4 linked regions of the Rhinolophus ferrumequinum genome follow. The protein of the gene in region 1 binds, or shares a complex with, the protein of each later gene. Links are inferred from orthologs where the notes say so. Each region holds a gene or a part of one and is shown in the gene's direction. Other genes may lie near its edges. The genes, in order: ING5, JADE3, BRPF1 and KAT6A.

The links.
Region 2: ING5 (region 1) and JADE3 share a complex: the UniProt entries of both Homo sapiens proteins name them as parts of the HBO1 complex. The link is inferred for Rhinolophus ferrumequinum from reciprocal best matches to the Homo sapiens genes ING5 and JADE3.
Region 3: ING5 (region 1) and BRPF1 share a complex: the UniProt entries of both Homo sapiens proteins name them as parts of the MOZ/MORF complex. The link is inferred for Rhinolophus ferrumequinum from reciprocal best matches to the Homo sapiens genes ING5 and BRPF1.
Region 4: ING5 (region 1) and KAT6A share a complex: the UniProt entries of both Homo sapiens proteins name them as parts of the MOZ/MORF complex. The link is inferred for Rhinolophus ferrumequinum from reciprocal best matches to the Homo sapiens genes ING5 and KAT6A.

What each region holds. Positions count from the first base shown.
Region 1 is NC_046291.1:127,935-135,412, reverse strand, and holds the start of ING5 (inhibitor of growth protein 5), read left to right. Parts: upstream 1-4,450; 5' UTR 4,451-4,627; coding exon 4,628-4,664; intron 4,665-6,957; coding exon 6,958-7,029; intron 7,030-7,478. UniProt on the Homo sapiens protein: Component of the HBO1 complex, which specifically mediates acetylation of histone H3 at 'Lys-14' (H3K14ac) and, to a lower extent, acetylation of histone H4. Component of the MOZ/MORF complex which has a histone H3 acetyltransferase activity.
Region 2 is NC_046284.1:86,935,969-86,943,248, reverse strand, and holds the start of JADE3 (protein Jade-3), read left to right. Parts: upstream 1-4,259; 5' UTR 4,260-4,290; intron 4,291-4,376; exon of another isoform or gene 4,377-4,676; intron 4,677-6,293; 5' UTR 6,294-6,362; coding exon 6,363-6,375; intron 6,376-7,280. UniProt on the Homo sapiens protein: Scaffold subunit of some HBO1 complexes, which have a histone H4 acetyltransferase activity.
Region 3 is NC_046300.1:44,171,254-44,179,033, reverse strand, and holds the start of BRPF1 (peregrin), read left to right. Parts: upstream 1-4,685; 5' UTR 4,686-4,772; intron 4,773-6,624; 5' UTR 6,625-6,634; coding exon 6,635-7,233; intron 7,234-7,780. Other genes in the region: CPNE9 (copine-9), read left to right, coding at 183-256, 1,855-2,040. UniProt on the Homo sapiens protein: Scaffold subunit of various histone acetyltransferase (HAT) complexes, such as the MOZ/MORF and HBO1 complexes, which have a histone H3 acetyltransferase activity.
Region 4 is NC_046287.1:58,404,332-58,412,075, forward strand, and holds the start of KAT6A (histone acetyltransferase KAT6A), read left to right. Parts: upstream 1-4,743; 5' UTR 4,744-4,865; intron 4,866-7,038; exon of another isoform or gene 7,039-7,126; intron 7,127-7,435; 5' UTR 7,436-7,744. UniProt on the Homo sapiens protein: Histone acetyltransferase that acetylates lysine residues in histone H3 and histone H4 (in vitro). Component of the MOZ/MORF complex which has a histone H3 acetyltransferase activity. May act as a transcriptional coactivator for RUNX1 and RUNX2.

The sequences.
Region 1 (7,478 bases):
CCGGCAACCAAGAACTATTTCTTCGGCTCAGCGACGTCATGTCAAATGATGTCAGCATCTTAGTAATTCTCTTAGCTTTTCCTTCCTGGTCACAGGGTGACTGCAGCATTTCTAGGCATCCAGTCCTTGCTTTGTGGCCCTGAGGTGGGCACAGGAGAGCCCTTGCAGCTGGACGTTATCTCCTTTGTGCTCTGCTGCCCTGGCCGGTCTCAGGCCCGATGCAGCGTGTGTGCCCAGTATGAGGGTGGTTTCTTCGTGCTCCCGTGGAGTCCTTCCAATAGGCAGGCGAGCACCAGGGTGCCCACTGCATGGAGGAGATGACGGAATGCTGGGTCTGAGTGTGCTTGCAGACTGGTGACACAAATGTGGTCCGAAGTTGATAACTGCTGAAACTGGTTGATGGGTACCCGGGGTTCATTAGGTTCTACTTTTGTGTGTTAGATTTACTATTAAAAGAGAAAAGACACAAACCCTTTTACTGTCCTCAGTGTGTTGCACCTTCCGTCTCACAGGAACTGTGTCAGACATTGATACTATCCATCAACGTCTCTCTTTTAGCTGGGCCGCCATAACAAATACCACACATGGGACGACTTAAACATCAGATTTATTTTCTCACAGTTCTGGAGACTGGAAGTCCAAGATCAAGACACCAGGAAGGTTGATGTTTGGTGAGAACTCTTCCTTTGGGTGGCAGATGACTGGCTGTGTCCTCACCTGGCCTTTCCACTGTACAAGTGTGGGGAGGGACGGAGAGATCTCTGGTTTCTTCTTTTTAATTACCTCTAGTCACATTGGAGGTTAGGAATTTGAACTATGAATTTTGGGGGGCTATTCATCCATAGCACTTACCTACTTCCAGAAGAAGAGACTGTGCTGGGCACATCACTGCCCTGCTAGAATCCATTTCCCAGCTCTCCTTGCACTTAGATGTGGCCAGGTGACGAAGTGACCACTAATGAAATGTGAGCAGAAGTGGCATTTGCTCCTTCAGACTGCAGACTGAACTTTCTCCCTCTTTCCTTCCCTGCCTTCCTTCAACCCAGCTTTGACCATGAAGATGATGGTGAACCCTTTTGGGAGTAGACATCGTGCTGGAAGGAATCTGGGTCCCCAAGTGATGCCATGAGCATAGCTGCCTGCCCCTGGACTGTTAGATAAGAGAGAAAATTCTATCTTTTTTTAACCACTGCATTTGGTTGGGTTTCTTTGGTAGAGTAGCTTAGCCTTCCCTTCAAGCACTGGTTCTCAATTGGGGGACATTTTGATTATCAAAACTTTGGTGAGGGTGCTCACAGCATCTACTGGGCAGAGGCCAGGGATGCTGCTAAATAGCCCCCAAGACACAGGACAGCCCCCACAGCAGGGTATCGGGCCCAAAATGTCAGTGGAGCCGAGGCTGGGAAACCCCACACTAGAGTGTATAGCAATGAAAAGAGGTAGTAAGGCAATCAGCTCTCACTCTGGCAGCTTCTAAAACAGGGTCTCTAAGAGAATTCGTCAGTTTTCTTCTGTGCGTGAAAGACAAACTTATTTGGCAGAAACTATTTATATGACACAATGGGCATGATATATGATTTATTATTCTCTATGATAATAGTTATTTTTTAGATGAAAGGCAAGAAGACCAATTTCTCCATGGATAATGGGTAAAGGACGTCAAGAAAATTATAGAAAAACTACAAATAGCCAACAAATCTGTGAAAACATGTTTAGACTCACTTAAAATGAAATACAAATTGAAACACCGAGGTTGGTTTTTGGGGTTTTTTTCTATCATGTTAGCAAAGATAAAAAACCCTGATGAAATCTAGGGTTAACAAAAATGTAGAAACATCCTTAGTGGGGTGTCAGTTCATTTAAAAGTATCAGCACTGGGGTGGCTGGTTAGCTCAGTTGGTTAGTGTGGTACTAATATCACCAAGGTTGCCGTTTCAATTCCCACATGGGCCACTGTGAGCTGTGCTCTCCTTAAAAAAAAAAAGAAAGCATCAGCACTTAGAACATACACTACTCTTTGAGCCAGCAATACCATTTCTAAGAATATTTCTGAAAGAACAAAGGCAACATGGTAATTAAAGATGGCTACAACCCTTGCTACTCCTCCCATTGAGAGGTGGGGTCTAATTTCCCCTCCCCTCAAATTGGGGTTGGCACTAAGGAATTGCTTGACCAATAGAATGTAGTGAGGTGATGTCTTGGGACAAGAGTCTTATAGCTTCCACTGTGGCCTCCTGGAACTCTCTGGAAGCCCCGAGTGGCCACAGAAGAAGTACTACTGCCTGGGACCGCAGGGCTGGAGAGGCCACATGTAGGCACTCTGACCCAAGGTGCCAGTTGAATGCAGCCTTCCAGCCACCCCAGTGATCTCTATGGTATCACAAGGAACAGGAGAATCACCCAGCTGAGCTCTGCTGGGATGCCTGACTCATAAAAACTGTGAGCTGTAATAAAATGGTTCTTTTAAAACACTGTTTATTATGCAGCAATAGGTAACTGGGACATTTGTATGTCCCTACCTCTATATGAACCATTGTTGACCAGAGCATTGCTTATAGAAACACTGTACATTTGTAAGGAATTGGTTCAAGTGTGGCATAGTGACACAATGAAATACATCTAGCAAACAGGATGAAGAATTGAGCAAAACATGGCCAGAATCCATGAAGCATATTAAGTGAAAGATGTACATAGTGAAAAAGTGGATAGTATGACTCGCCAATAAGAAAACAAACAGCCCAACTGAAAAAGGGGCAAAAGATCTGAACAGACACCTCCCCAAAGGATAAATACACATGGCAAATATGCACGTGAATGGTGCCCAACATCATGTTCTCAGGGAAGTGGAAAGAGAATGGGGCACCTCTACACGTCTATTGGAACAGCCACAATTCGGGGCAGTGACCACACCAGATGCTGGAGGGGATGTGGAGCAGCAGGAACTCTCAGTCACCTCCGGGAGTGGGGTGTGCAAATAATGCAGCCACTTGGGAAGACAGTTTGCAGTTTCTTACAGAGCCAAATGTAGTCTTACAGTGTGATTCAGCATTCACACTTCTTGGTATTTACCCAAAGGAATTGAATATTATGTCCAAACAAAAACCTGTATGAAAGAAACAACATACCAGCTTTATTCATAATTGACAAAACTTGGAAGCAACCAAGATGTCCTTCAGTAGGTGAATGGATAAACTGTGGTCCATCCAGACAATGAAATATTCAGCATTAAGAAGAAAGGAACTATCAAGCCACGAAAAGACAGGGAGGAAACTTAAATGCATATTACTAGGTGACAGGAGCCATACATACTGTGTGAATCCAACTGACATTCTGAAAAAGGCAAATCTATAGGTGTGGGTGGGGGAGGGCAGGGAGAAGGATGGATAGGGGGAGCACAGGAAATGTTGAGGGCAGGGAAACTATTCTGTATGATGCTGTAATGGTGGATACTTAACTGTATGAGAGTGAACCCTAAAGTAAACTATGGACTTAATAATGATGTATCAATATTGTTTCACCCAATTAATAAATGTACCACACCAATACAAAATACTTATAATAGGGGAAACTCTATATGTGTGGAGGGAGTATATAGGAACTATAGCATCTCAATTTTTCTGTAAACCTAAAACTGCTCTAAAAAATAAAGTCTATTAATTTAAAAAACCTCGCCACTTAAAAGAATAAAAAAGGTGGACAGTATTTAAATTACGTGTGTGTGCACGTTTTCTAATCAAGCATTAAATGCAGCCAGAAAGAATGTACCCAAACTACCACTTGGATTCAAAGGTGAACAAGATTATCACAGTCCTGCACCCAAGGGGGGGGAACTGTATGTTCTTGTATAGTTTGAATTTTTATGATGAACATACAATTGGCCAAAACACGAATACGCTTCCATTTTTAAATATTTGGGGTTTAGCGAAGACTTCAGTAAAGGGGGATACATCTTAATGCATTTTTCAATAATGAAACTACTGCTCATTCATTTGTCAGGGTACGCCACTTGTAGGACCAACTCCCTTAATCTCAGGGGCCAAGTAGGGGGTGTGGTTCCGGGCCCAGACCCCTTCCGACTAATGGCCAGCTGTCCATAATGAGCGGGCGGAGGTCCCGCAGAACCCCTTCTCCGAGGAGCCCTGGGAGCAGCCAGCGCTGAAGAAACGTGTGCGCCGGCCCAAACACCGCTTTAACCCCCACGAACATGTGTCCCGTCTCCCCGTTTTTTTTGCGCGCATCCGGTGCACTTCGGTGACCCCCTCGTCCACTGGAACACGTTTGTCACTCCTCGCAGGCACCTACTCTGCGTCCAACCCCATACAGGAGTGGGCGTAGGCTCCCCGAGCCACGTGTCAGAGTCGGTCGGCCGAGTGGGCGGGGGCACGGGGACAGGAGAGCGCCCAGATCTTGCAGTTGCCCCGCCGGCGGGACCCCAGCCCCGTACCCGCGCGACACCGCTTGCACCCCGCCGACCGGAAAGCAGGGGGCGGTCCCTGCCATCAACCCGCCGCCGCCGGCCGGCCAATCAGCGCGCAAGCTTCATTAATAGTGAACGTACCGGCCCCGCCCCCTTGCCTCTCGCGGCGCCGCCCGCCCGCGCAGACCCAGAGCGCGGCCGCGGACGAAGATGGCGACCGCCATGTACTTGGAGCACTACCTGGACAGTAAGCGTCCCCCGCGCTCCCTGGGCCGCCGCCCGCGTAGGGCCCTCCCTGCCGTGCCCCGCCGCACGTCAGGACTCGCGCGCGAACCCCGGGGGTCGTGGAGACTACGGGACTCCAGGGGGCGACGGGGCCGCGCGTGGGGCGGGGCGGGTACGAAGGAGGGACGCGCGCGCGCGGGGAGGGTGTGTGCAGCACAGGGTCCCGCCATCGCGGCCGCGCCAATTCTATATGCGTCATGGCGGGGCGGGGCCAATGCGGGCTGCCCCGCCCCTTCGGCTAGGCCCCGCCCTCCTCTAAACAGGCCCCGCCCGTTTCCTCGGCCCCCGCCCTTCCGCCTCCGCCCCTCCCCGACTGGCGTCTTCTTTCCTGCCTACGCCCCGCCCCTGTGAGGCCCCACCTTCTTTGGTTCGGGGCCTCTCGGTTTGGCCCCGCCGTCTCTCCCAGGCCCCGCCCTCCTTCGATAGCTCCCACCCTCTCCGCATCCACCCCTCCCCGATTAGGCCCCATCCACCTCGGCTCGGCCCCGCCCCTCTGCCGTCTCGGTCTCGGTCCCGCCCCCACTGCGCAGGTCCAAGAAAGTGATCCCAATCCCCTTGAACTCTTCGGGGGCTCCGTGCCTGGGGTCCCCGGGTTCGCTTCTTGGCTCTGAGCCTCAGCTTGTGCATTTGCAAGATGGGGAGGTGATGCTGGCGTGCAGGGCCTCCCAGGGTGCCTGCCTTTCCGCGGGGGTACTTACGGGGCTCGTTAAGGTGTTCATGGCCAACGTCTCTGAGGCTCCTCCCGCAGGCGTCCTTCTGTTTACCTGTAGCTCAGGATGGACCCTGCTGACCACTCCTGAGCAGATGGTTATGCCCCTCATTTCGCAGAGGCTGAGTAGCTTGTCGGGGGCATGCACGTGTGGACTCTGGCTGTCTGGTTCCTGCTGGGGCATGGCCTGGGGGGATGTTGGGTGGGGTTGGACTGGGTGGCTCTGGATCGCTGTGCTGCACTGGGGATAGTCATGGTCACTGGGGCCTGGGCGCCCCTCCCGAGGCCGCTGAGAGGAGTGAGCCCCTGCTCTGGGGGAGACAGTGGGGGTCAGCTTTCCTCAGGGGGTCGCCCAGTCCTGTCCATTTGTTGCGCTCTGCCTGCCCATCCTGAGCACTTGTAGGGTTAGACTTCCCGCATTGTCACCGAAGAGGCCGGTACCCAGCTAGGGAGCACGGCCACTTGCCTTTCTGTGTCCCGCTGCCTGCCCAGTGGGCCCTGTGGGAGGGTCTGAGGAACCTGAGTCACATCACGTAGGTACCTGCTCACTCCTCGAGCACCTGCTGTGTGCCAGGGAAACAGTCACAATCCCCATTTTCCTGACACCTGTCAAATGGGCAGAAGTACTTTAGAAAGCTCACAAGATTAAGGGTTGTGAAGGAGCCCAGCAGACCTTGAGAGTCTTGCAGAGGCCTGAGTGGTAGGACAGGGCAGGAGGCTGGGGAGTCTGGGGGCAGGGCTGGGACTTTGGGCGGCTCTCGGGGTGAGCTGGGGAGTGCTGGGGCTTTAAGCAGTGGCTTTGAAACATTATGTTGAGCTTTTAAAATGACCGCTGGCCACTGGCCGGTGGGCAGTGTGGAGGGGGCCGAGACCTGATGCAGGAGCCCAGTCAGGGGCTTGTGGAGGCTGTGCAGGCTGGGAGGAGCTTGGCCTGCACTAGGAGGATGGCTGTGCAGGCTAAGCAGCGTGGGGCGAGGTCCTCATCATGTGCCGTTCAGCACGGCCTGTTTAACTTGAAATGAATTAAACTTGAGCGAAATTAGAAATTCAGTCCCTCAGTGGTACTAGCCTTGTTTCATGCATTCAGTGTCCCTGTATGACCAGTGCCCATGTTTTGGGCAGCTCAGAGCACATTTCCATCCTTGTGTAAAGTTCTGCCCAACAGCACTGGTCTGTGCTAGCAGTGCACTGGGTTGCAGAGTCAAGTGGGGGAAAACCAAGGAAGACTCCAGGATTTGGGACGGGCTGGCTGTGGGGAGGGGTTTGGGGTAAAAGGTCACACGGCCACCTTCTCAGCCTCTGCTCATAGCTTGTTTCTAAGTTCACCTCCAACTTCTCCAGCTTTGACAACTTCTGAAGTATAGTGGCCTGTTACCAGTGTTTGGTACTCACTTGTCCCTACGTAAAAGATTTCTTAATCCTTGTGCTCCCAAACCCTAACAGAAACAGAAGACAAAGTGGGCTTATTATCTGCAAACTTTAGCTATAAAGTCAAGAGGGCAGATCTGTGTGCTGCTACTGAGAACTCCATGTCTGTGTGTTTCAGGTATCGAGAACCTTCCCTGTGAACTTCAGAGGAACTTCCAGCTGATGCGAGAGCTGGACCAGAGGACAGAAGGTGGGTTTTTGCCTTCAGTATAGCCAGGGAGAGGTGGCACCAGGTACTGGAGTGGCACTGGGCCACCAGGGGACCCGGTGCAGAGGGGCCGCAGCCTCGCCCTAGGCTGTGGGTGTTTGACGGTGTCTTAGCGAGAGTGCTGATACTGTAAATCAAACTTTGTTCGTTGGATTCTTACACATCTTCAAATCACATCTCTATAAGTATCATCCCCTCCTTACACACAAAATATCTGTGACCTTTTTTCCCTTTAAAAGATTTTCTAATTTCAAACTATGTGTGTATAGTATTAAAAAATTAGTGCTTTTGATTTCTTGATATTTAAGTTCCTGTTTCTAAGCCTCACATTTTGCTGCTATTTCTTATTCTATTAACCTTCAGTTTTAGACTTTGTTCAGTTGTTATGGAAAATGGACTTACTCTGCAGTTGCCCCCACCCGGCTCATGCA
Region 2 (7,280 bases), on another chromosome or scaffold:
CTAAGACTACTTCCGACCTCAATGATTCACTAGGAATTCAGCATATAGTCAGAGTCATGGCTATGATTTATTAAAGCAAGAGAACACAGAGCAAAATCAGCAAAGGGAAAAGGCACTTGGGGCGAAGTCCAGAGAAAACCAGGCACAAGCTTCCAAGAGGCCTCTCCCAGTGGAGTCACATACGACGTACCTAAGTCCTCCAGTAAAGAATTGTGACAACACATGTGGAATGTCTTCTATCAGGGAAGCTCCTCAGAAACTCAGTTCCCAGGGCATTTACTGGGAGTTGGTCATGTAGGCACCCTCTGCCTAGCACTTACCAGAATTCCAGACTCCCAGAAGGAAAGCAGATGCTCAACGCAAACCATATTGTTTGTACAAACAGTTTAGGCACAGTGAGCCACTCTTATCAGTCCTGGGAATGGTGGGAACTCACCCCAAATCCAAGTTTCCAGATGCCATCCAAGGACCAGCCTTGCAAGCAGGCCTTTCAAAGAACAGCAGTCAGACCTGCTGCTAACTCTTTTTCTGCACAGCTTGAAAATCAGGAGACTTGAATTCTAGCCCCAGCATAAATCACATTTATACAAACAGTTTAGGCATAGTGAGCCCCTTTTATCAGTTCTGGGAATGGTGGAAACCCTCCGGACCTCCAAGCTTCCAGATGCCCACCATGGGCCTGCTACGTTAACTGTTTTCTGCACAACTTCACAACTCTTTTTATGGAGCCAGGATTATACCAAAACCAGACAAAAACAGTATAAAAAACACCCTCAAAACTTCTCTTATGAACTTTGACACAAACATCTACAACAAAATATTAGTGATATAGAATCCAGAAAGGTATAAAAAGAATTCTACCATGGCCAAGTGGGGCTTATTCCAACTATGCAAGGTTAGTTCAAAAATCAATATTCAATCAGTGTAATCTACCATATCCACAGGCTAAAAAAGAAAAATTGTATCAATTGATGCAGAAAAAGCATTTGACAAAATTCAGCATTCATTTATGATCAAAACTCTCAGAAACTAACAATAGAAGGGTATGTTCTCAACTTGGTAAAGAGCATCTACAAAAAAACTGCAGCTAACAGTTTTCTTAATGATGAAAGATGGAACATTTCCACCTAAAATAGGGAACAGGGAAGCATGTCCACTCACACCACTCTTACTTGACATAATAGTGAAAGTTCTAGCCTGCACAATAAGGCAAGAAAAGGAAATAAAAGGCATACAGATAGGAAAGGAAATAAAACTACCCATATTCATATTCACAGACAACATGATTGTCTATGTAGAAAATCCCAAAGAATCTACCAAAAAAAACTCCTAGAACTAATAAGGGATTCAGCAAAGTCGAAGGATACCAGATCAACACACAAAACTTAATAATGAACAATGAATGAGGGAGCTGGCATTAAAAACACGATACTATTTATGATTACTCCAAAGAAAATGAAACACAGCATACACTTAACAAAACACATACAGGATCTGTATGCTGAAAATTTCAAAATGCTGATGAAAGAAGTCAAGGAAGATCTAAATAAAAGGACAGACACGCATATCATGTTCATGGATTGAAGACTAAATATAGTCAAGATGTCAATTTTCCCCAAATTGACATACAAGTTTAACACAATTCCTATAAAAATCCAAGCAAGGTATCTGTATAGATAAGCTCATTCCAAAATTTATGTGGCGAGGCAAATGACCTTGAATAGCTAAAACAAATCTTAAGAAGTATGAAGTGGGAAGAATCACTCAACTCAATGTTAAGGCTTACTCTATAGCTATAGTAGTCAAGACTGTCTGATATTCACAGAAGGATAGACACATAGAACAATAGAACAAAATAGAGAACATAGAAATAGCCCCATACAAACAGTCCAACACAAATATGCCCAACTGATTTTGACAAAGATGCAAAAGCAATCAATGGAAGAAAGATAGTCATTTTAACAAATTGTGATTAAGCCATCAGACATCCACAGGCAAAAATATGGACCATGACCTTAAGTTCATATTTTATACAAAAATTAATTCAAAGTGAATCATGAATTTGAATGTAAAATATAAAACTATAACACTTTTAAAAGGAAATATAAGAGAAAATTTGTGGGACTTGGAGCTAGGTGACACCAAAAGGATGATACATAAATGCAGACATTGATAAGTTGGAATTCATCAAAATTAAAATTTTTCATCTGCAAAATCTCTTAAGAAGATGAAAAGACCAGCTACAGACTTGGAAAAATATTTGCAGACCACATATCTGACAGAGAACTTGTATCTAGAATATAAAAAGAATTCTCAAAATTTGACAGTAAGAAGCAAATAATATATTTAGAAAATGGGCAAAAGACATGAACATATATTTCACCAAAAAAGATACAGATGACAAATGAGCACATGAAAAGATGTTCAACATCACTACCTACTAGGGAAATGCAATTTAAAACAGAGATATCACTACACACCTAATTAGAATGGGTAAAATAAAAATATAGTGACAATACCAAATGCCGGCAAAAATGTGGAGCAAGTGGATGTCTCATACATTGCTCGTGGGAATGTAAAATAGTACAGACAGTCTGGAAAATTTTGGCAGTTTCTTATAACACTAAATTTACACTTACCATCTCATCCAACAATTTGCACACTTGGACATTTGTCACAGAGAAATGAAAACTTACGTTTACACACACACACACACACACACACAAACTCTACATGAATGTTCATAGCAGTTTTATTCTTAATAGGCAAAAATTGGAGACAACCCAAATGTCCTTCAATGGGTGAATAAACAAATTAGTGCATCCACAGCATAGCAATACTACTACCCAGCAATAAAAAGGAATGACCTATTGATAACATGCAACAAATTGGGGTGGATCTCAAGGAAATTCTGCTGAGTGTAGAAAAGCCAATTTCAAAAGGTATGATTCCATTTACATGATATTCTTGAAATAACAAAATTATAGAGATGGAGAACATGTTAGTGGTTGCCAGAGGTTGGGTTAGAGGAAGGAGATGACAGTGACTATATTGGGTAGCAGGAAGAATCTTTGTGGTAGAGGAACAGTTGATTGTGGTGGTTACCCGAATCTACACATGTGATAAAATTGCATAGTACTACACACAGATACAGAACATTACATGTAAAACTGGTGAAATCTGAATAAGGTCTGTGGATTGTACCAATGTCAATATCTTGGTTGTATAAGATATTACCATTGGGGAAAACTGGGGGAAAAGTACATGGGACTGCTCTGTAATATTTTGTACAGATCCTGTTAATGTATAATTATTTCAAAGTAAGTGAAGTATAATAAATGATGTAAGTGAAGGACTACGAATATTTTAGAACTCATACATTTGCATATTATAAAATAGAATTATTTTTAATATGGAAAACAGACAAAATATAAAAGAGCCCACATTTGTGTTTAGCCTAGACATGTCAATGAAAATGACAATGTGTTCATGGTAATTGCACAGGGTACACAGCCAAACCCAGACAGGTAAATCAAAAAGGTTTTGTTGCCTAAACATCTGTTATGAGTCAGGATGCCACCAGAGAAGCAGACCAATAGGACATTATATCTATGTCTATAAAATTTGTTCATTCATTCATTCAAAGATATTGGCTTACACAATTGTGGGGTTGGCTAAGCAAATCCAAAATCTGTAGGGCACACAGACAGAAAGGAATGATCAGCACCCCCCCCGCCCCGATTATCCAGAATAATCTCCCTTACTTTAAATCAATTGATCAGGAGCTTTAATTACATCAAAATATCTTCACACCAACAGCTAGATTAATGTTTGATTGAATAACTCGGGGCTGTAACCTAACCAAGTGGACACGTCAAAAAACTACACAACATCATGAAGCAACTTTGTAAGTGTATTCTGTGAATAGCCACCTTGGCTTTATCTTTATGGGTAATCCAAGCGCTAACGATTTAAATCAATAGTGCCAGACGAGGAGTTTTCTCTACATGAGGGTCCACTTATAGAACTTCGGAGTTAAAGGGGGCTGTGAAAAGCTTAGTTTGTATTTGAATATAGCCAAGGCACCTCCTGTGGTCCTCCCTGGCACACGGCGGGGCCAAGGCTCCTGGCGGCAGCAGCGCACCCAGCAGGAGCAGAGAGAAACCCACCTGGAGCACCGCGCGACGGGTGCGGGAGCACGAGGTGGGCGGAGCCTCGAGGCGCTCTGGCGGTAGCAACGGCTCCCAGCCCGCCAGAAGGGCGCTCGGCGGTCGGCGGGGAGCCAGTCCGGTAGGGCGAGCGCGGCCAGCGGTGGTGGTGGGGGGGGAATGCGGGAGGGGGAGGAAGGAAGGGGAAGAGGCGGAGCGTGGGAGCCCACAGTGTCAGGAATACAATAGTGCTCCGCGCCGCTTCAGCCGCCGCGGTGCCGCCGCCGCCCAACCGCTCGCCGGGCGTTGAGGCCTGACGGGCCCGGAGGGCGAGGGCCGAGGGCGGGAGCTGAGGCGCAGGGGGCGGCCCCAGCGGATCGGGCGGGGGGCGGGTGGAGGGCAGGTGCGAGGGAGGGGAGAGAAGAAAGCGAGCAGTTCGGGGGGCGGTTACCACTCCAACCGGACTCGCCCGGCACAGTGCCGGGCCGAGCGTGGAGCCGGGAGGGAGCTTCGACTGGCTGCACGAAGGTAGGCGCCACTGAGGCCGGACGCGATGCGAGTGGGCTGGGGGGCGGCGCGCCGGGTGGGCACGGGAGGGGCTGCCTCGGGGAGCCGGAGCGGGCGGTGAGGGGCGCAGCGTCCCGGCCCAACCTCGCGGCGCTCCAGGTCGCTCCGGCGTCCCAGGCGACTGGGGGCCGAGAGCGTGTGTGCGCTGAGGTAAAGTGACCGGCAGTGGTCGGCGCGGGGGGCGGGGGCGGGCGCCCGAGCTCGGCTGCAGCCACACTCAGGCAGGCGTGGAGCGCCATAACTGTTGCGGCGGATCCCTCCGGTGCCCCTTCCCGACGCCCCCTCGCTCCCTGTCCTCTGCCTGGTCTCGGGGCTCACGGGGTCAGACCCGCCGCTGGAGGACCTGCTCTGCGGGACGCCTGGAGCCGGATGCTCCCGGGAGCGAGGGCGCGCCCTGGCTGTTTCGATGTTGGGGGGCGGGAAGAACCGTGAGCCCGGAGGGGGGTAGGCGGTGAGGGGAGCGGCGAGGTCCTGGGTGAGCCCGGGCGCCCCGCGGGCTGGCGAACTTTCCCTCCCCCTCGCGTCATTGTTCTGGCGCTGCTGATCCGGGTCCGCCACGACCACCGAGTGCCGGGCGGTCCGGGGGGTGGGAAAAGCAAAAGGGCTTTGCGACGCTTCTGGAGAAAATTTCCCACCGCTGAGCTCGGCAAAGTTAACTTTTCTCCAGCGATCAAGTTGGTCTTATTCTCTCCGCCGTGGGGCAATCGATTAAAAAAAATATATAGACTCCCTCCAATCTTTTTCTCTCTCTTTTCAGAGCCACTGCTTCGGAGAAGTCTGTCTCTAAATTGCACAGGGCAACCTGCGTTTATTATTTGGGAGAAGGGAAGGGGGGCGTGATCTCGAGCGAGTGACCATAATGGTGGTAATGTGAAGGCATGTTTAAAAGTTGGTAGCATTGTGTAGCCCTGGGACATATGGAGCGCCTAGGCATTTGGCAGGAAACTTTTTTGGGCGCTTCTCTGACTTTCGGGGTTGCAAGGAAATACATGGCCTCAGATGTGCACGAGATTTTTTTAAAGTGAGATCCGTTTATCTGTGAAGCTGAGGAGGAGATCCCAGCGTCCCCCCGTCCACCTTCCGCCGTCTGATTGTATAAGAAATCAAAACCATGTTGAGGGTGATTCCACTGGCCTGGAGGGAAAGACAACCTCGTTCCCTGTATTCAGTCTGATAAAGATAACTGTCTGCTTCTCTCTAAACTCTAAAATAATTTAAGTAAAGATTAGTTGCACAATATCTTGGCTTACTTTAAGGAACCCAGAATCCACTTTCCCAGAGTAGTTCTCTTAAATACCTTCCCTGCAGCCACTTCTTGTCAGCCTGGGGGTGGGGGAGAGGGGGTAAGAAAGGAGTGGACCCGAACAAAGCATTGTTTTTATTTAATTTAATACTTTCTTGACATCTGTAAACAATGGGAATGTGGATCCCAGCCTCTGTACACTTTGAATAGTGTAGTTCTCATAAAACATCATATGATTACTCTCCAGATAATTGGGAATAGATGGTTTTTTTTCCTTTTTTGTTTAGCCGAGGAATATTCTACCTCTATAACATATCTTTTTTTTCCATTTATAGTGAGCTCTGAGCTTAAATATTTGAACTGTAGAAGGATAATACCTCTCTTCAAGGGGGTGAAGGGATTACATGAGGTGTTTTGGTAAGTGTTTCTCAGTGTGAGCTACCATCATTGCCACCTTTTCAACTGTGCTTTTCTATAGTTTTGTTTGCTAGAAAAGAGCTCTCAACCCAGTCTTGTTGCCGTGAAACAGTGCCTTTGTCTGGAATACTCAGGGGTTCTAGAACCCACACTTTCTGGCTCACTGGTTTCTGAGTTGCCATGCTCTGGCTTGGCCTTCTCAGGAGTAGGAGCCTGTGAAGCTCCCAACTCCTTCCTGAAGTGTCAGCTAGGAGCCAGGAGTGACTTGGAAGCAGCCTTGACCCACCATCTGGCCTGTAGAGAAGGTTCTCGGGCAGGACAGATGATCGTTGGGAGCTCTCATCAGAGTTGAGACATGAAGAAGAAAGGGTGTAGAAGACGTTCAGGTTGAGTATGGTCCTCTTCTTTGATAATGCTTGTCCTTTCCCTCCCTTGTGTTTTCACTGCCACAGCAACCCATTTCTCCCCTAAGCTACACAAAGCCATTTCTTCTTTTTGCCCACTACTTTGAGGTCTGGCTAGAACTAGGCAAGTATCTGGGGGGAAGTTGGGGAGGCAGGAAGCAGCGGATGTTCGTGAAGACATGGCATTACAGAGGGCTCTTACAAGCCTTGAGAAGGGACACAGGTTGAAGGTAGAGGTCCGACGCTGGCTGACATTAACATTAAGAAACTCTCTCATCGGGATAACTTACTATAACCTTTACTTACCTCATGTTATAGGTGAGGGATGGGTGTTGGGGGACACCCCTCTGGCACTCTCCTGAAATGGCTACTAGTGGGACACTTGAATGGTTTACAAGTTTCTACCTGTTCCAGTTACAGTGGCTGGGAAAGCTGAAGCATTCTGGTTTGTGGGGTGGGGAGGATCTAGAATGAGAAGGTAGAAGTGGTGAACGAATAAAA
Region 3 (7,780 bases), on another chromosome or scaffold:
ATTCCCAGGAGGATGGAATGTGTGGGAAGCAATAGTAACTCCATAATAATGCCTAATAATTGTAGGACTTTTGATATAACCTGTTAGGCATTTTCATGACTTCGAAGTGGAGTTAAGAGGGAGGGGGCCAGCATGGGTTGATGTGGGAGAGGCCAATCAGCTGAGGGGTGTTTTTTCTACAGCAATGGAAGAGTTGGATGGTGACGATGTGCGCGTATCCTCTAGAGGACGCTACGCAGAGCGGGACATCGTTCAGGTAGACTCACCAGGGAGAGGAAGTCATGGAGCTGAAAGGCATGGTGGGAAGGAGAGGCCAAGTTGGCAGCCACTCTACCTTACTGCCTTCTTAATCTCCTACCTTTCTCCCCTCACTCTTTCAGCCTTCCTGCATTCCTTGAACAAAATCTTGGTGAGAAAAAGGCAGGTTGCTGCAGCCATTGTGGATTCATAGTATAGGAGATCCTCAAGGCCCCTGCCCTCTAGTGGAGGCAACCAGTAATAATCACACAGCTAAATACCTCACTAAATTGTGATTAAGTGCTCCCTAGAACAGCAAATGCCACTACAAAAGCCTATAACAGGGTAGTCAGGAAAGGTTTCATGAGGAAATGACATTTGAGCTGAAACTTAAAGGAGGGTATAAACATTACAGGCAGTGGAGCCGCACGTGAGAAGGCCCTGAGGCTCAGAAGAATTGGCCCAATCACAGAAAAGGCAAGAGGCCAGGGTACAAAGATCACAGCAAGTGAGAGAAAGAAGGAGCCAAGGCCTCGTCAGTCATGGTGAACATTTGGGGTTTTACTCCAAAAGAATTGAAAAGCTCTTGAAGGATTTTACATAGGGGAGTGAGATGGTCAGACTTCCATTTTAAGAGGATCGCTGCTGCAAATGGAGGATGGACTGAAGCAGGGTGAGAGAGAAGGCAGGGAGAGCCATTAGAAGCCTTTGAAGTAGTAGTAGAGGGGAGATGAAAGGAATCTGGTTGGGAATGGAAGCAGTGAGGATAGAAGCAGGTTCAAAAGATTATTTAAGAAAAATTTTACAAGAGTTGATTTAATTAAATGGTGATGGAGAGTGAGTGGGGCTTCAAAGATGACTCAGTTTTCTAGCTTGAGCAACTGGGTGAGTGAGAGTCCCATTTATTGGGAAAGGGAAAGGTGAAGGAGGAGCAGATTTGGCAGGACAGGCTAGAATTCAGTTGTGAACACATTGGGTTCGAGGTATCTAGGGCAATTGAACGGAGATATGATACAGGCAACTAAGTATGTGATCTGGACCTTACAAAAGAGGCTAGGGGTGGATATATACACTTGGGAGTCACCAGGGAACAGGTTTTAGTTAATGAAGTGTATAAAATCACCCAGGAAGACAACTGATAGACAGAAGGGACCAGTTTATAGATCAGGTAGACCCAAAGGTCTAGGGGAGTAGGGAAAGGGAGCATCCGGAAAGGTAGGAGAAAATTCAGCAGAGTGTGGTGTGTCAGGAGTGTCCAGGAAGATTATGGTCAAATGTAAGAATGGAAAGCTGAAGAGAAGCAAGATGAGGACTGACTATTACTGCCCACTGGACTGATTGGGGAATATGGGGCTGTTGACGACTTTAGCAAAAGCCATTGCAGTAAACTGCGTGAAGCCAAACTGGAGTGGGTTGAGAGTAACTAGAAGGTGTGTGGAGGGGAAGTGGGTGGGGAGAAAGCAAATGCAGAAAACTATACAAAATAGGTGGAGAGAGATAGTGTGATATTTGTAAAGAGATGTTAGGGGGTCATAGCGGAAGCCCCCTTACTGCCCCCTACCCCACTCCCCTCTCTCCTGGCCACCACCCATACCTGATTATCTCTGCCTGTCCCAGTTTGTCCCATTCCGAGACTATGTCGACCGATCGGGGAACCAGGTGCTGAGCATGGCCCGACTAGCCAAGGACGTGCTGGCGGAGATCCCGGAGCAGCTGCTGTCCTATATGCGCACCAGAGACATCCAGCCTCGTCCTCCACCCCCTGCCAACCCCAACCCAACCCCAGCTCCTGAGCAGCCCTGAGGGGCCTACCTATCCGATGCCTAGCAATCTGCCCACATGCCCACCCACTGCTTCTGCTGAAAGCCAGAGGCACCTGGAGCCCTGGAACTCACTGGAAGGCCAGCTTGGAGGATCAGTGCTGGCTGGTCAAGCCCTGTGCCCCCTCACCCACAGAAGGGCCTGGCACTCTCACCACCTCCCTGCCTTCATGCAAATAATAAAGCTGATCTTTACTCCACCTCTGTCTCATTGGTTTTGGGGAGGGAGACTGGGGGACCCAGGGCCTGGCACCCCACCAAGAGAAGGACGGGTAGCAAGGATGGCTTCAGCTGGGTTCATCCCCATCCTAATACATATTCATCCGATCATTTCCTCATTCTTTAAACACTTTCAGAAATAAGTGAAACTATGTGTGTGTGTGTGTGTGTGTGTGTGTATACTTTTTTTCTCAGAGAGGCCATAGTTTTCATCAGACCCTCAAAGGGATTCCTGACCTGAAAAGTAGTTGACTTTAAGATGACTGTATGACTCTGCTCTGACCCATTTGTTATTTTTTTGAGTGAGGATAATAAAAAATAGCTAATGTTTTGTTTGAGTGTTCACTACATATCACACACTAGGCTGAGACTTATAAGCATCATTTTATTTAATCTTCACAAAATCCTGTGACATAGGCACTATATTTCCATTTTACACACGAGATAAAGTAACTTATTGAAGAGACCTCATCAGTTTGACTCCAGATCCCAACATCTTAACTAGCAAACATCTTCCTGGAGTGTCAATTTTATTGTTTTTTTGGAAGACATTATATACGAAAACACATATATTATAATGGGTAGAATGCAAGGTATGCGTTAACATAAAAGTGAAGTGGGGCAGCCGGATGGCTCAGTTGGTTGGAGCCCGAGCTCTCAAAAACAAGGTTGCTGGTTCAGTTCACGAGCCCCCTTGCAACTAAGATTGAAAACGGTGATTGGACTTGGAGCTGAGCTGCGCCCTCCACAACTAGATTGAAGGACGACTTGGAGCTGATGGGCCCTGGAGAAACACACTGTCCCCCAATATTCCCCAATACAAAAAAGTGAAGCTTCCAGATCCTTTGGGCTTTGTTCCAGAACCACGGAATACCCTGCCCGGGTGTCCCTCGGGCCACTCCAGCCCGGAGAACTGACAGGGCATTCACTCCCTTCCTTGATGGCAAAACTGGAGAAGCTCTGCGACAAGCATTATTTAACAAGTCAACTCTCCGCAGCCTAAGTTCTCCAAAGCCCCCATGAATTAACAATAAAGCTTTCAAGCTCCATTTTACAAATAAGGAATTTGAGGTAGGGAGAATTTAACAACTTGCACTAGTTCACAGAGCCACTAAGTAGCCCAGCCACATTAAAACCAGCTGTCTATTTTTCAACCATCTTCCAGCCGGCATCCCTGCAGCCATGATGCATCTCCCCTCCAACCTACAGGGTTCCTGGCATCTGAATCCCATTTGACGGTACACAAGCCCTTTCACACCCCAACAGCCCTCTGCACCTCCCCAAATCTGGCCCCTTCCTTCAGATCCACACCTTCCTTCCAGTCCCGTTCCTTTACCTTTCCCAAGATTCTTCCCTTTCCTTCGGCCACACCCCGGTGTCCCTAACCCGGTCCCGCCCTTTCCCTCCAGTCCCGCCCCTTTACCTTACTCAAGCCCCGCCCCTTCCCTTCAAGCCTCCCCTCGTTTTTCCCAGCTCTATCCTTTCTCCCTAGTCCAGCTCCCCAGGCCCACTCTTCAGTTTAGCCCCACCCTGAGCCCTCGTTCAGTCCCTATTCTTACTAGGACCCACTCTACAGATGGCCCCACCCACTCTCCGCAAACCCCGCCCCGTAGACTGGTTCAATCTCTTCCAGCCGCCCCGCCCCTACCCATAACTCCGGGCCTCCTTTAGGCTCCAGCCCGCGTCCCTCATGCTCCGGTCCCTGCCCCCCAGCCCCGCCCCATGGCTCCGGCCCCGCCTCGCCGCCTTCTTCCGAGACCAAGGCCAGGTCCCTACCGCAGCCCCGGCGCCACCAGTAGGGAGTGAGAAGGGAGGGAGGAAGCTGAGGGGGAAGGGAGAAGGGCGGGCTCCTCACTCCCAGACCCGCGTTCGCCGTCCGTGGCCGCAGATTCGCCATAAACGGCCCGACCACTCCGGATCGCGAGTACCGCGACTTCAGTTTCCAGAAACTCACCTCTAAGATGGAGGTGCTAGAGAAACCTTGTGGGGTGTCCAGGGACCCTTCCGAGTCCCAGAGTATGGCCCCTGGAGCCTCAGCGGGCGGGCGGGGTTCTGTGGCGAAAGTGCAGCTCGGCAGCGCCGCGGCACCACGTTTACCCTGCGCAGACGCCGTCGCCGCCGCTGCTGCCGCCGCTGCTGTCCCTGCCTTTGCCGCCACCGTCTCCGCTGCCGCCGACCCCGCTGCCTCCGGGAGCCTCCATTGTTCAGGCGGCGCCGGGTCCAAGACCCGGCAACTTAGGGGCTCTCGAAACGGGAGGCGGACGACGGAGTTGAGACACCGGGGCGCCGGCGGGACCCGGAGCGGCAGGGGTCAGCGCGGGAATCCCGGGGAGCCGGGGCCAGAGCGTGGGGCGGCAGGGGGCCGGGGTGGCGAGGTCTGCAGCCTTCGGAGTTGGGGCTTCTCCTCCCCGGCCCATCTTTCCCCGCCGGCCTCCCCAAGTGGGGTCGGAGCCCCGGCGGGCAGCCCCGGCGATGAGCCCGGACTCGAGGTGGCCGGTGAGTGCGGGCCTGGGACCTGGGCGGGAGTGGCCAGCGGGGAAAGGGTTGGCTACTTTCGTGGGGGCGCACTGAGCTGCCCTGCCCGGGTGCCCCTCGGGCCACTCCAGCCGAGAGAACTGACAGGGCATTCACTCCCAGCCGGCATCCTGGGGCAAAATTGTATTCTTCGGGGCTGCCGGGGCCAATGGCAAGACGGGGAGCCTTGTTTAACTTGTTACACTTCGACAAAAGGGAAACGTCGCCGCATCCGGGAGGGCTGCGGGCACCGCCTGGGCCCGGCCTGATCCCTCCGGCCCCCGCCCCCTACTTCCTCCAGCCCCTTGAGCTCCACCGCCGCCACACCCCTGGGCCCCGGGCCCTACCCACGGGCTTTCAGGTCTAAGTTCTCGCTCCCTCCCCTGTGCCTTTGCTGTTGAGTCCCAGCGGGACATCTGCTCGGGGAAGCAGAGCCGCAGCCTTCACCAGGGACCCTTCATTGAAAGTGGAGAGGTTGTTTGTTCCTCCACTTGGTCTGTGTTTCAAGACACAGCCCCAGGTAGGAAGAAAGTAGAAGTGAGCTGGAGTTGAAGGAATAGTTTTACTGATGTGGAAAGTCAGGGACTTTGATGGAGAGTCTGAAGCCGCCCATTTGCTTGGTTAAGTAACAGGAGGAGAGAGGCCTAGAGGGGTCACTGTTTGTCATGGAGCTCAGGGTGGCACTGCCTGGAATAGTGCCAAGCCCCTAGCTGAATTGTTAAACTCCACTATGCCTGGAGAAACTGGGGCAGTCTCTGACCAAGCTGGACTTCCTGGGGGCTGGTGCCATCTGCTGTCTCCATTCACCTAGGAACACTGGAGAGGAGAAAGGGAGGGCCCTGAGGACCAGCATGGAGCTGAGTGTAACTGGATTGCCTTGTGTGTACCCGTAGGGCCTGTACCAGGGCCAGGGCCAGGGCATAGGCTTCCCCAAAAGAGCTCAGAAATGAACAAATTATTTCTATAATCCAGTGATTTCTGCTGGAGACTGAAACTAAATCATTGGCTACCCGTTCAAGCGTCTACATGGGCTAACACTAGCTTTCATCTGTCTCTCTCAGCTCCAAATCTGGTGGTCCCCTCATTTAGTTATCATTTGACAGTTTATTCATTCATTTGCCGAAAACGGAGTGTCCACAACATTCCAAGTACTGGGAATATAGAGATGGGTAGGCTCTGGTGACTGCACTTGAATGGCTCCCAGTCTAGTAGGAGACAAAGAGGTAAGAATGGAAAGCTATGGAAGCACAGTTCCCCACAGGAGAGACAAAGAAGTCATAACAGAAGAAGTGACATTTGAGCTGGGTTTTGAAGAATGAGTAGGAGCTTACCAATCAGAGGATGGAAGGTGTTCCAAATAGAGATCATCTTGCAGGAATGAGAGGTTATAACATTCAGGGACTGGTAAATTGCCCTGGATAGACAGAAGCACAGCTGTAACTGGTGAAAAGAAAAATCTAAAAAGGAGGACCAGGGCCAGACAGTGAAAGAGCATCTTACATGTCGTCATAGGGGTTTGGATATTATCCTGAAGTAAGTAGGGAGCATCGGGAGGCTTTTAACCAAGAAATTGAAATGATTGTTGCTACTTAGTGGAAAGATCACTCTGGCCACGTTATGCAAGATGACGCTAGAAGAGTTGAGACATAGGTTAGAATGACCAGGCAAGAGGTGATGAGGCTCAGACTATGGCCATGGTGTGAAGCAGATGGCATTTGGAGATCCTGTGGAGGTGGGTTAGCCAGGATCCTTGGGGAGAGGGAGGGCTGGAGGGAGTGGAGTGAATGGCCAGGAGCTCTTCCTGGGTCTATGCTAACTGACCTATAAATTCCAGATGTGACAGCATGGGGGTGGACTTTGACGTGAAGACTTTCTGCCACAACTTGCGGGCGACTAAGCCACCATATGAGTGCCCCGTGGAGACTTGCCGCAAGGTCTACAAGAGTTACAGTGGTATCGAGTACCACTTGTACCATTATGACCACGACAACCCGCCGCCCCCGCAGCAGACGCCACTCCGCAAGCACAAGAAGAAGGGGCGCCAGTCCCGCCCAGCCAACAAGCAGTCACCCAGCCCCTCAGAAGTATCCCAGTCCCCGGGCCGTGAGGTGATGAGCTATGCACAGGCCCAGCGTATGGTGGAGGTGGACCTGCATGGCCGTGTCCACCGCATCAGCATCTTTGACAACCTGGATGTGGTGTCAGAGGATGAGGAGGCTCCCGAGGAGGCCCCTGAGAATGGCAGCAACAAAGAGAACACGGAGACGCCGGCTACGACGCCCAAGTCGGGCAAGCATAAGAACAAGGAGAAGCGCAAGGACTCGAACCATCACCACCACCATAATGCTTCCGCCAGCACTACTCCCAAGCTGCCAGAGGTGGTGTACCGGGAGTTGGAGCAGGACACCCCTGACGCCCCGCCCCGGCCGACTTCCTATTACCGGTAAGGCCACCTCTGCCTCCTAACTCTGAAACACTGGTCTCGCAGGGCTTAGGAGCCGGAGAGAAGTTACAAACAGAAGATAGGAGAATGGCAAGGATAAAGGACAGCAGCAGCACACTGGTCCACCCAGGCCAGTGAACGGAATAGTACCCCAACTAATGATGGTGGCACTTACTGTGTTAACGCCGCCACATTCCAGGCCCCGCACTGGGTGCTTTATGGCCACACCCTCATTTTATTCTTACAACCCTCCCAGGTAGGTATTGTTCTCATTTCACAGATGAGGAAACCACAGTTCAGAAAGGGTGCCAAACTTACTGAGAGTCACATGCCAGTACGTATCAGAACTGGTATTCAAATCCAGGTTCCTCTGACTCTGAAGCTACACTATTTCCACTGTATCAAAAGATACCTTCTCTGTTCCTGACCTCCTCCACTCCATCACGGTGTGACCTTGGGAAACGCATCCAGCTTCTGGTGTTCTAGTGACTCCATCGGCAGAGCAGGTTTAATATCCCTCTGACAGCCTAAAGGGACAATGATTTCA
Region 4 (7,744 bases), on another chromosome or scaffold:
ATGATAAACATTAATTCTAGTAGCTGTTTGTAGACTCTGTAGGATTTCCTAGCTAGAAAATCATGTCATCTATGAGAAAAGATCTTTATTTATTTATTTCCAATTTGGAATGCCTTTTTATTTTCCTGACTTATTGATCTGTCTCGAATCTAGAGCAGTGTTGAATAGAAGTGGTGACAGCCAACACCTTTGTCTCGATCATGTCTTAAAGGGAAAGTATTGGTCTTTAATTGGTCTTTAATGGTTTAATTGGTCTTTAATTAAGTATCATGGTAATTGTAGATTTTTCACAAATGCCCTTTTATCACTATGAGAAGGTTCATAGTTTGCTGAGAGATTTTTATCAGGAATATTTGTTGGATTTTGTCAAATACTTTTTCTGTATCTGCTGAATTGATCATATGAATTTTTTCTGTTTTAGTTTGCTAATGTGAATTATATCGACTGGTTTTTCAAATGGTAAATCAGCCTTGCATCCCGGGGATTAAACCCAGCTGGCCATAATATATTATCCACTATATATAATGTCAGACTCAATTTGCTAAATTGACCAAAAGTCAGTGGAAAGAATATACATAGAAAAAAATCCACAGAAGATCTAGCTATTGTAATGATCAGGAAGAGATTTAAAATAGCTAGACTTATACGTTCAAGAAAGTATAGGCAAAGGTGGAGAAAATAAAAAGATGGAGAATTGCTCCAAATGAATTGGATTTTATTTTTAAAAAATCATATGAAATTTCTAGAACTTAAAAATACAATGACCAATATTAAGAATTCAATAAATAGATTTAAGAGAAGATTTAGGTAGATGGATAGAAAATTCACAGACTCATGCATAAAGAAAGATGTCAAAAAAATGGTAGTAAATACAGATGGTAAACAATGAAAAATTCTGACATATGTGTCACCGAAGTCTTAAAAGGAAAAAAGAGATAAGACCAAGAATTTTCGAAAACAGATAAAAGATACCAAGCTACAAATTCAAAGGACTTCACGAGTGGCACATGCCACTCATGAACCCAAGTGGGATGAATACAAAGAAAATCACATCTAGACATATCACAGATTATTTGTGGAAAACTAAAGAAAAAAAATGTTAAAAGGAGCCAGAGGAAAAAAGATATTAGTTTCCAAAGGAATAACAATGGAATGATGGAAACCAGAAGACAATAAAAGGACATCTTTAAAGTGCTGAAAAGAAAATTTGCCAAACTAGAATGCTATCTATACTCAGCAAAAATATGAAAGATAAAATGAAGTTTTTAGGCAAACAAAAATGGAGAGAACTTGTCACCAGCAGACCTACTACAGTATGAACAGAGGAATTATTGAGAAAGAAGGAAAAAATTCCAGTCAGAAGCACCAAAATGTATATTGGAACAAGGAGTAACATAAAGGGTAAATAAATATGTAGGTGAATATAATGAATATTGACTGTAGAAAACACATAATTATAAAATGTTGTATGGCTTAAAATACCAGGGGTGCCAAATAAATGTATACAAGTGGACACTTTGGTCAACATTGCTCAAGTAGTAATTCGCCGTCATCAGAAGTGTCTGGATGCTGATGGTAACCACTTTGAGCACCTCTTGTAATTGCAGAAGACAAACGTGACTTGTATTCATCTTTTGTTATCGGTATATATTGAGTATTACAATTTTAATACAGTTTTCCTTTCTTAAAATGTGTATACATTTTTTTGGCACCCTCTGTATATGCACAATTAAAATCTGTGACAATAAAAACCACAAAAGTGGAAGGGTGGTGGAGACATAGTATTCTAAGGTCTTAGCATTATTGGGAAAGTGGTATAAGTAATTATTTATGTTAGAGTGTAATAAGTCAAATAGGCAGGCTGTAATTACTAAGATTTCTAAAAGAATGTATAACTAATAAGCTAATAGAGGTTAATGGTATAATTAAAATATTTTAATTAATTCAAAAGAAGGCAAAAAAGAGAATAAGGGATGTAAAGTAAGTGAACAAAAGAAAATAAATAGCAAGATGGCAGGTAGAAATCCAAATACAGCAGTAATTATATTAAATGTAAATGGACTAAAAGCGTTTCCTGTTGAAATAAGTATAGAGCAAACTTCCAATTTTAGGCTTAGCTAGAGTCAGCATAAAAATGTAACTACCTACTACAAGTGAAAAGGCAGGGATTCCTAGTGCAAAATGTGGATGAGGGAAATAACATAGCTGGCAACCCTGCAGGGCTGAATTCTGAGTCAAGTTTGAAGCAAGAAAAACTGTCTGTTCAGTGCTGTGGATTTTTTTTAACATTTGAAAGACGAGGACTTTAATCTGTCTTTGTTGCAGATCTTTTGAGAAGACCTCCTGAATGTGCCCTCAAGTTATGCAAATGTAAAGCAAAGACTCTCTATGGAAGCTGTTTGAAAAGCTAAACTGTTCTTTGTTGTTGCAAATTGTTTTAAATTCTTGCTACTGTACTCTAGTTTGGTCTTCTCACAGGAATGGCTGTAGCTAGTTTTCTTCCAAATTATCCAAAGGCAAACACAGTTCATCTCTGTAAATGTTATTTTTCTTCTGAAGACCACACACTAGTCTCACGCGAAGAACTCATTTTCTTTCTATTAACATGACTTTATCTGTTCTCTTTGGGAAATAAAAACCTTTCTTTATTCTTTTAAAAGAGAATCTCCCTCCACCTTTTCTTTCCTGTATGTATTTCCATTTCACAAAGAGCTCTCATTTTACCTGAGAACGCATCTGTCTGATTCATCTAGGATGAAAAATATCCTTTCTAATAGATTAACTTGTACCTCCAAATTTCTCTCCTAATTTGGCAATGGGGCTTGGAAGTAGGTGACGGAGGGTGATGAAGTAAATCTCATCACACCACACCACATTTATGTTCTCAGTGTCAGTACTAGGATATTGAGTTGGCTGGACCATCATCTGAAAATATGTTTTTATGTTGTTATTGAGTGGTCTAGACAGTCTAAGGATTAGAGCAGAGAAAAGCTAAGAGATAAGAAAGTATAGGTTGAGGAATACACCAGGTTTGAGCTGGAGGTGGAAATTCCGTCTTTTTCTCAGTGGCTTAAAAATTTTCATTCACTAGCAACGTTTTGAGTCTGTACTACTTGTAACACAGTAATGGAGATGCAAAGAGGCATTCTAGAAGAACATACAATGTTACAAAGGCCACACATCCTGTCAAACGAATAGGGCAAATGGTCAGTACTACAAAAGTTCAGAAAAGGAAGTAAGCATGGAAGTTAAGGGAGTGAGTGGGAGGGTGGTCTTTAAAAGGTAAAGCTGGGGTAAAATGAGATGTTAGAGAAAATATCGTGTTTCCTGGAAAATAAGACCTAGCGGGACAATCAGCTCTAATGTGTCTTTTGGAGTAAAAATCAATGTAAGACTCGGTCTTATTTTACTATAAGACCTGGTCAATATAATATAATGTAATATAATATAATATCCCAGTCTTATTTTACTATAAGACCGGCTCTTATATAATACAACATAATATAAGACCGGGTCTGGTATTAATTTTTGCTCCAAAAGAGGCATTAGAGCTGATGGTCCCGCTAGGTCTTATTTTCCGGGAAACAGGGTAGTCTACGCAGGATGCACAAAGCAGATAAAGGTCTAGTAGCAGGAAAATACTTCCACACAAAATTATTAACGATTTAGTATGTCTTTTCATTTGTCATTTACTGCCTTTCCAATGAATGTAGTAAATAAAATTTAAAAAGGGTATGATTCAATCTCGAGAGACAAGACAAAGAAACCAGTAGAGGACAGACATGCTATGAAAAAAGTGCCAGTTCGTGGTTCAGCCATAAATTCGGACAAGAGCAATTCTGCATAGGGCACGAGAAGACAGGCGTTGGAGTAAGGCAGATCTAGGCTCCAAACTCAGATGCGTGCCACAAAATAGCTCCGTGACCTTGTGTAAATCTTACGACCCTCGTCTATGCTGTTTTCTATGAAAACGTCTCTAGTAAGGTCCAACAAGTCTCATTTGTGGGGAGGGTGAAATCATTGTGGTGACTTGACAAAGAGCTTGACACGAGTGTCTAAGTTTCTACCCTTTCTCCCTTCTCAACACACCTCCTCTTTTTCCTACAGTAGGAGTGAGATGTGTGGGGTGAGTAAAGTGAGCAGAAGGGGAACGATGAAGGGAGGCAACTTCCTCTCTGCCCTTCGCCCCCTCCCCACCACACAAGCTCCCGACCTCAGGTTCCGGGAGAGTCACCGTGGAAGTGGGCTGAGGGCACATAAGTGGGGAGGGAGGATCTGCTAACTGTAAACACAAACGCCATCAAGAGTTCAGAGCCCGTCTGGCCACCGGATTTCCGTGCCACACTGAAGCCACCCCACCCATGCGTCTGCTCTCAGTTTCCCCAGCTGTGTAATGGGGATACATCATCTCCTCCTCTCACTGGTATCTGCCCGACCTGACCGTGTGTGAAAGGCTAGAAAGAGCCCCCAGTTTTTGGCCTCCAGCCCCATCAGGTCCTCCTCCCGCTTTGGCTTTGGCCTTTTGTACCGGCCCCACGTGACCCGCCCGGCCCGCTCTTCCCTCCTTACCCGCCCCGCCCTCCGGCCTTTCCCGGCTCTCGGCCCAGCTCTTCCCGCTCCTCTGCCGCCCCCCTCCCGCACTCTCTCTCCCTCCTCCCCCCTCGCCTCCCTCCCGGGCTGTTGCCGCTCCCTCCTCCAGGCAGCCGTTCCTTCGCGACGCTTCCCCTCCCCCCGCGGCTGTTCCGCCGCCTCGCCTCCCCTCCCCCCGGCCGGAGCTCACTGTCTCCAAGATGGCGGCCGTGTCAGTTTGGGGCATCTCCGCGGTCCGGCCCGGGGTCCTGGTATCCCGGCTCTCTTCCTCCCCGGTAAGTAGCCGAGAGGCCACCCTCGGCCGCCCCCAGCCGTCGAACCCGAGGCTGAGTCGCTCTGGGGCCCGCTCCGCCGCCTCGCGGGGTCGGCAGGAGGCTGCAGGCCCCGTCGCGGCCTGCGCCGCCTCCCGCTGCTCTGCGCCAGGCCTCGGGCTGGGGCGCCACGGCCGCCCCCTCGCGCCCGGCCGGCGCCCGGCTTTCCCCGCCCCGTGGTCCGCGCGCCTCCGGCCCAAGGTCCCCGCCGCCCGCCGGCGGGCCGGGCCCAGCCGGGGAAGTCGGCGGGTGGGCAAGCGGCGAGCGGCCCAGGCCGCAGAGCCTCGGGCTGGGCTGTGCCGTGCCGGCAAGCCCGCTCTCCCTCGGGGGCGCGCCCACCTCCCCGGCCCCACCTGCGCCCGGCGCTCGCCGCCCAGGCCCGCCCGGCCCCTCCTGCCCGCGCTCCGGGGCGCTCCCTCTTCGGTTGCGGCCGGGTGTGCGGAGATCCGAGAGGGGCTGAGGCGGCAAATGGGGGTGACAGGCTGGCGGGTGTTGTGGTGCGGAGGAGGCAGCACGTGTGGTGTTGTGTCTGTCGGGCTGTCAGCCCGGACGCTGGGAGGGGAGGCGGCGGGCTGCTTGTCAATCGTCGGCCGGTTTGGACAGGAGCTGCCGGACCTGTCAGGCTCTTCGGGTAGCCTGCATGCCCTAAACCCTCCTTGGAACCCGCCTCTGTGGAGCTGAGGATTTGGAGGAGCTGGGAACGGGTGATACATTGCTCTTAACTCTTTCACGTGATTTCATTGTTAACTTAGTCCTCGGGTTCTGTTTCCATCTAATGGGAATGGCGAAGCCACCCGTTGGCAAGCTTCAGGGTTGTGCTGTTCCAAGTTTTTAAAGTTTCTCGCTCTTTAAAAAGAGAGCGCGAAGATGTGTTTGTGGGTGGGGAATGGAGGCCGGGGAAGAACTGTCGGAAGCAAGTTGTGCTTTCTCTTTAGACGCTGGTGTAAAGTTCAAGTCTGCAGGCCCTTTACTTTGGTAAGACCTGGACACTAGTGAAAATCCCGGCCGGAGAGACAATGAATAACTGTCATTCATTCTTTTACCTGCGAGCTTAATCAATTACGTTTCCAACTTCTTAAACTCAGGTTGTAGCTTCTTATTTAGTTTAGCGTTAATATCTACATAATGAACTTTCGTGGAGTAATAATAGTATGATTTCTATTCTCTCGAGACTCTCACCAAAATGAAGCATAGCTCTCAGGGGGCTTCTTTTTAGTCAGATTAAAAATAAATCTTGGCTCAGATTTGAGTGTTTACTTCAGCCTTTTTTTTCCTATCCGAGTTAATAGTACTATCCCTTTCCTAATACCTGTTAGTTTTCCTTTGGATTTTAATGATACTTGTAAGAATAATTGCTGTGGGAGCCATTTTTTTTTTTTTTTCTTTTGTTTATGTTGTAATGTAAATGTTCCTCAGATTAAGAACAGAGGTTCTAAAAAACACAAAAGTAAAATTAAATTTAGTTTTGAAAGCAGAGGAGTTGTTTAGATTGTGAAAATTCATTATTTTGGTGATTTTTAAAAAGATTTGTATATGCCAGGTTCTTTTGTCTGAAAGAAGAATATTGACTTTGATCCTGGAGAGGCAGTATATTTATGTTTGTGTTTCATTCGTTAATGTTCATTTCAGGACAGCAGTCTTGAATCTTTATGAGATCTTTGTAGACTGGCAAACAGGGAATAAATTTTTTTCTGTACCATACGTTTGATATGTAGTCTGTGCATTTGAACATAATGATTCTGGGCCTTTCTCATTTCTAGTTTCTCTCTCTGTAGATTGGTTATGAACATTTTGACAGTTGTTACTCCCTCCAAGTACTTTAGTTTGGCTTAGGAGATGCTATCAGCATGTAATTCTTGAAATTTGAATGAAATTGGATTATTTAAAAATTCCTTAAGCACTTTTCCCACTTGACTACTTTTCATATTATTTTTGTTTCCATTTGGAATGTTTAAAGTATATATTGCACTTAAAGTATGAACTTGATCTGTGTGTGTAAATTGTATTTGTTGTTTTTCTAATGTATGAAATAGTTAAAATTTTCTTAATTGTTTTCTGCCTATTCTACTGACTGTTTTATCCAGTCTGAATGTCTGGAATTTTAAAGATGAAAGATTCACTTTTACTTTCATTACAGGATTCTTTCTACTAATCCAGATACTTGTTGAAGTGCTGAATAGTTTCTTGGGGAAAGATGTCAAGGAAGAGTTTCAGTTCATAGACTGGTGAGCAGAGATTATGGCACACAGAATAGCCAGCACCCTCTGGTTAATTGTAGTCTAAGGTTATTCACAGTGCATCTCATTTTGTTTCCTCATTGTATTCTAATTACTCATTTCATTTCTTTTCTTATTTATCCCAGTGGTTTACATACATGATTGTTTTGGAATGTTGATAGAAACATGTTAAAATTCCTACAGGTGCTCAATAAACACTTGCTATTTGATTGCTTTTAAAGACTAGGATGTTTCAGTTATAGCTTATTTACAAGTGGGACTTGATAGAAAACTGACTTTGTTTTCATTGTTTTTCAGGCATAAGATAAACATTCTTCTGCTGGGAGTGACATGTTCCTGAGTTTTTACAACTTTATGAAGAGACCCACATGTGGTGCTATTGAGAAATTTATTGGGAAGTTTGAAGACATTTCAAATAACTGGTAGTTGCGGTTTCTAAAGTAAAGTGGGGAGGCATCTATTTTATGAAAGGAGGAAGGACTTAGGCCAGAAAACTTGTATGCTATGGTTAACTGGTTCTCAGCCTCCGAGAATGTTGTTTTCCATGGTGTAAAACTTACTCAGCATCAGGATAAGGGATAACGACTCTATGGATATACGAATCCT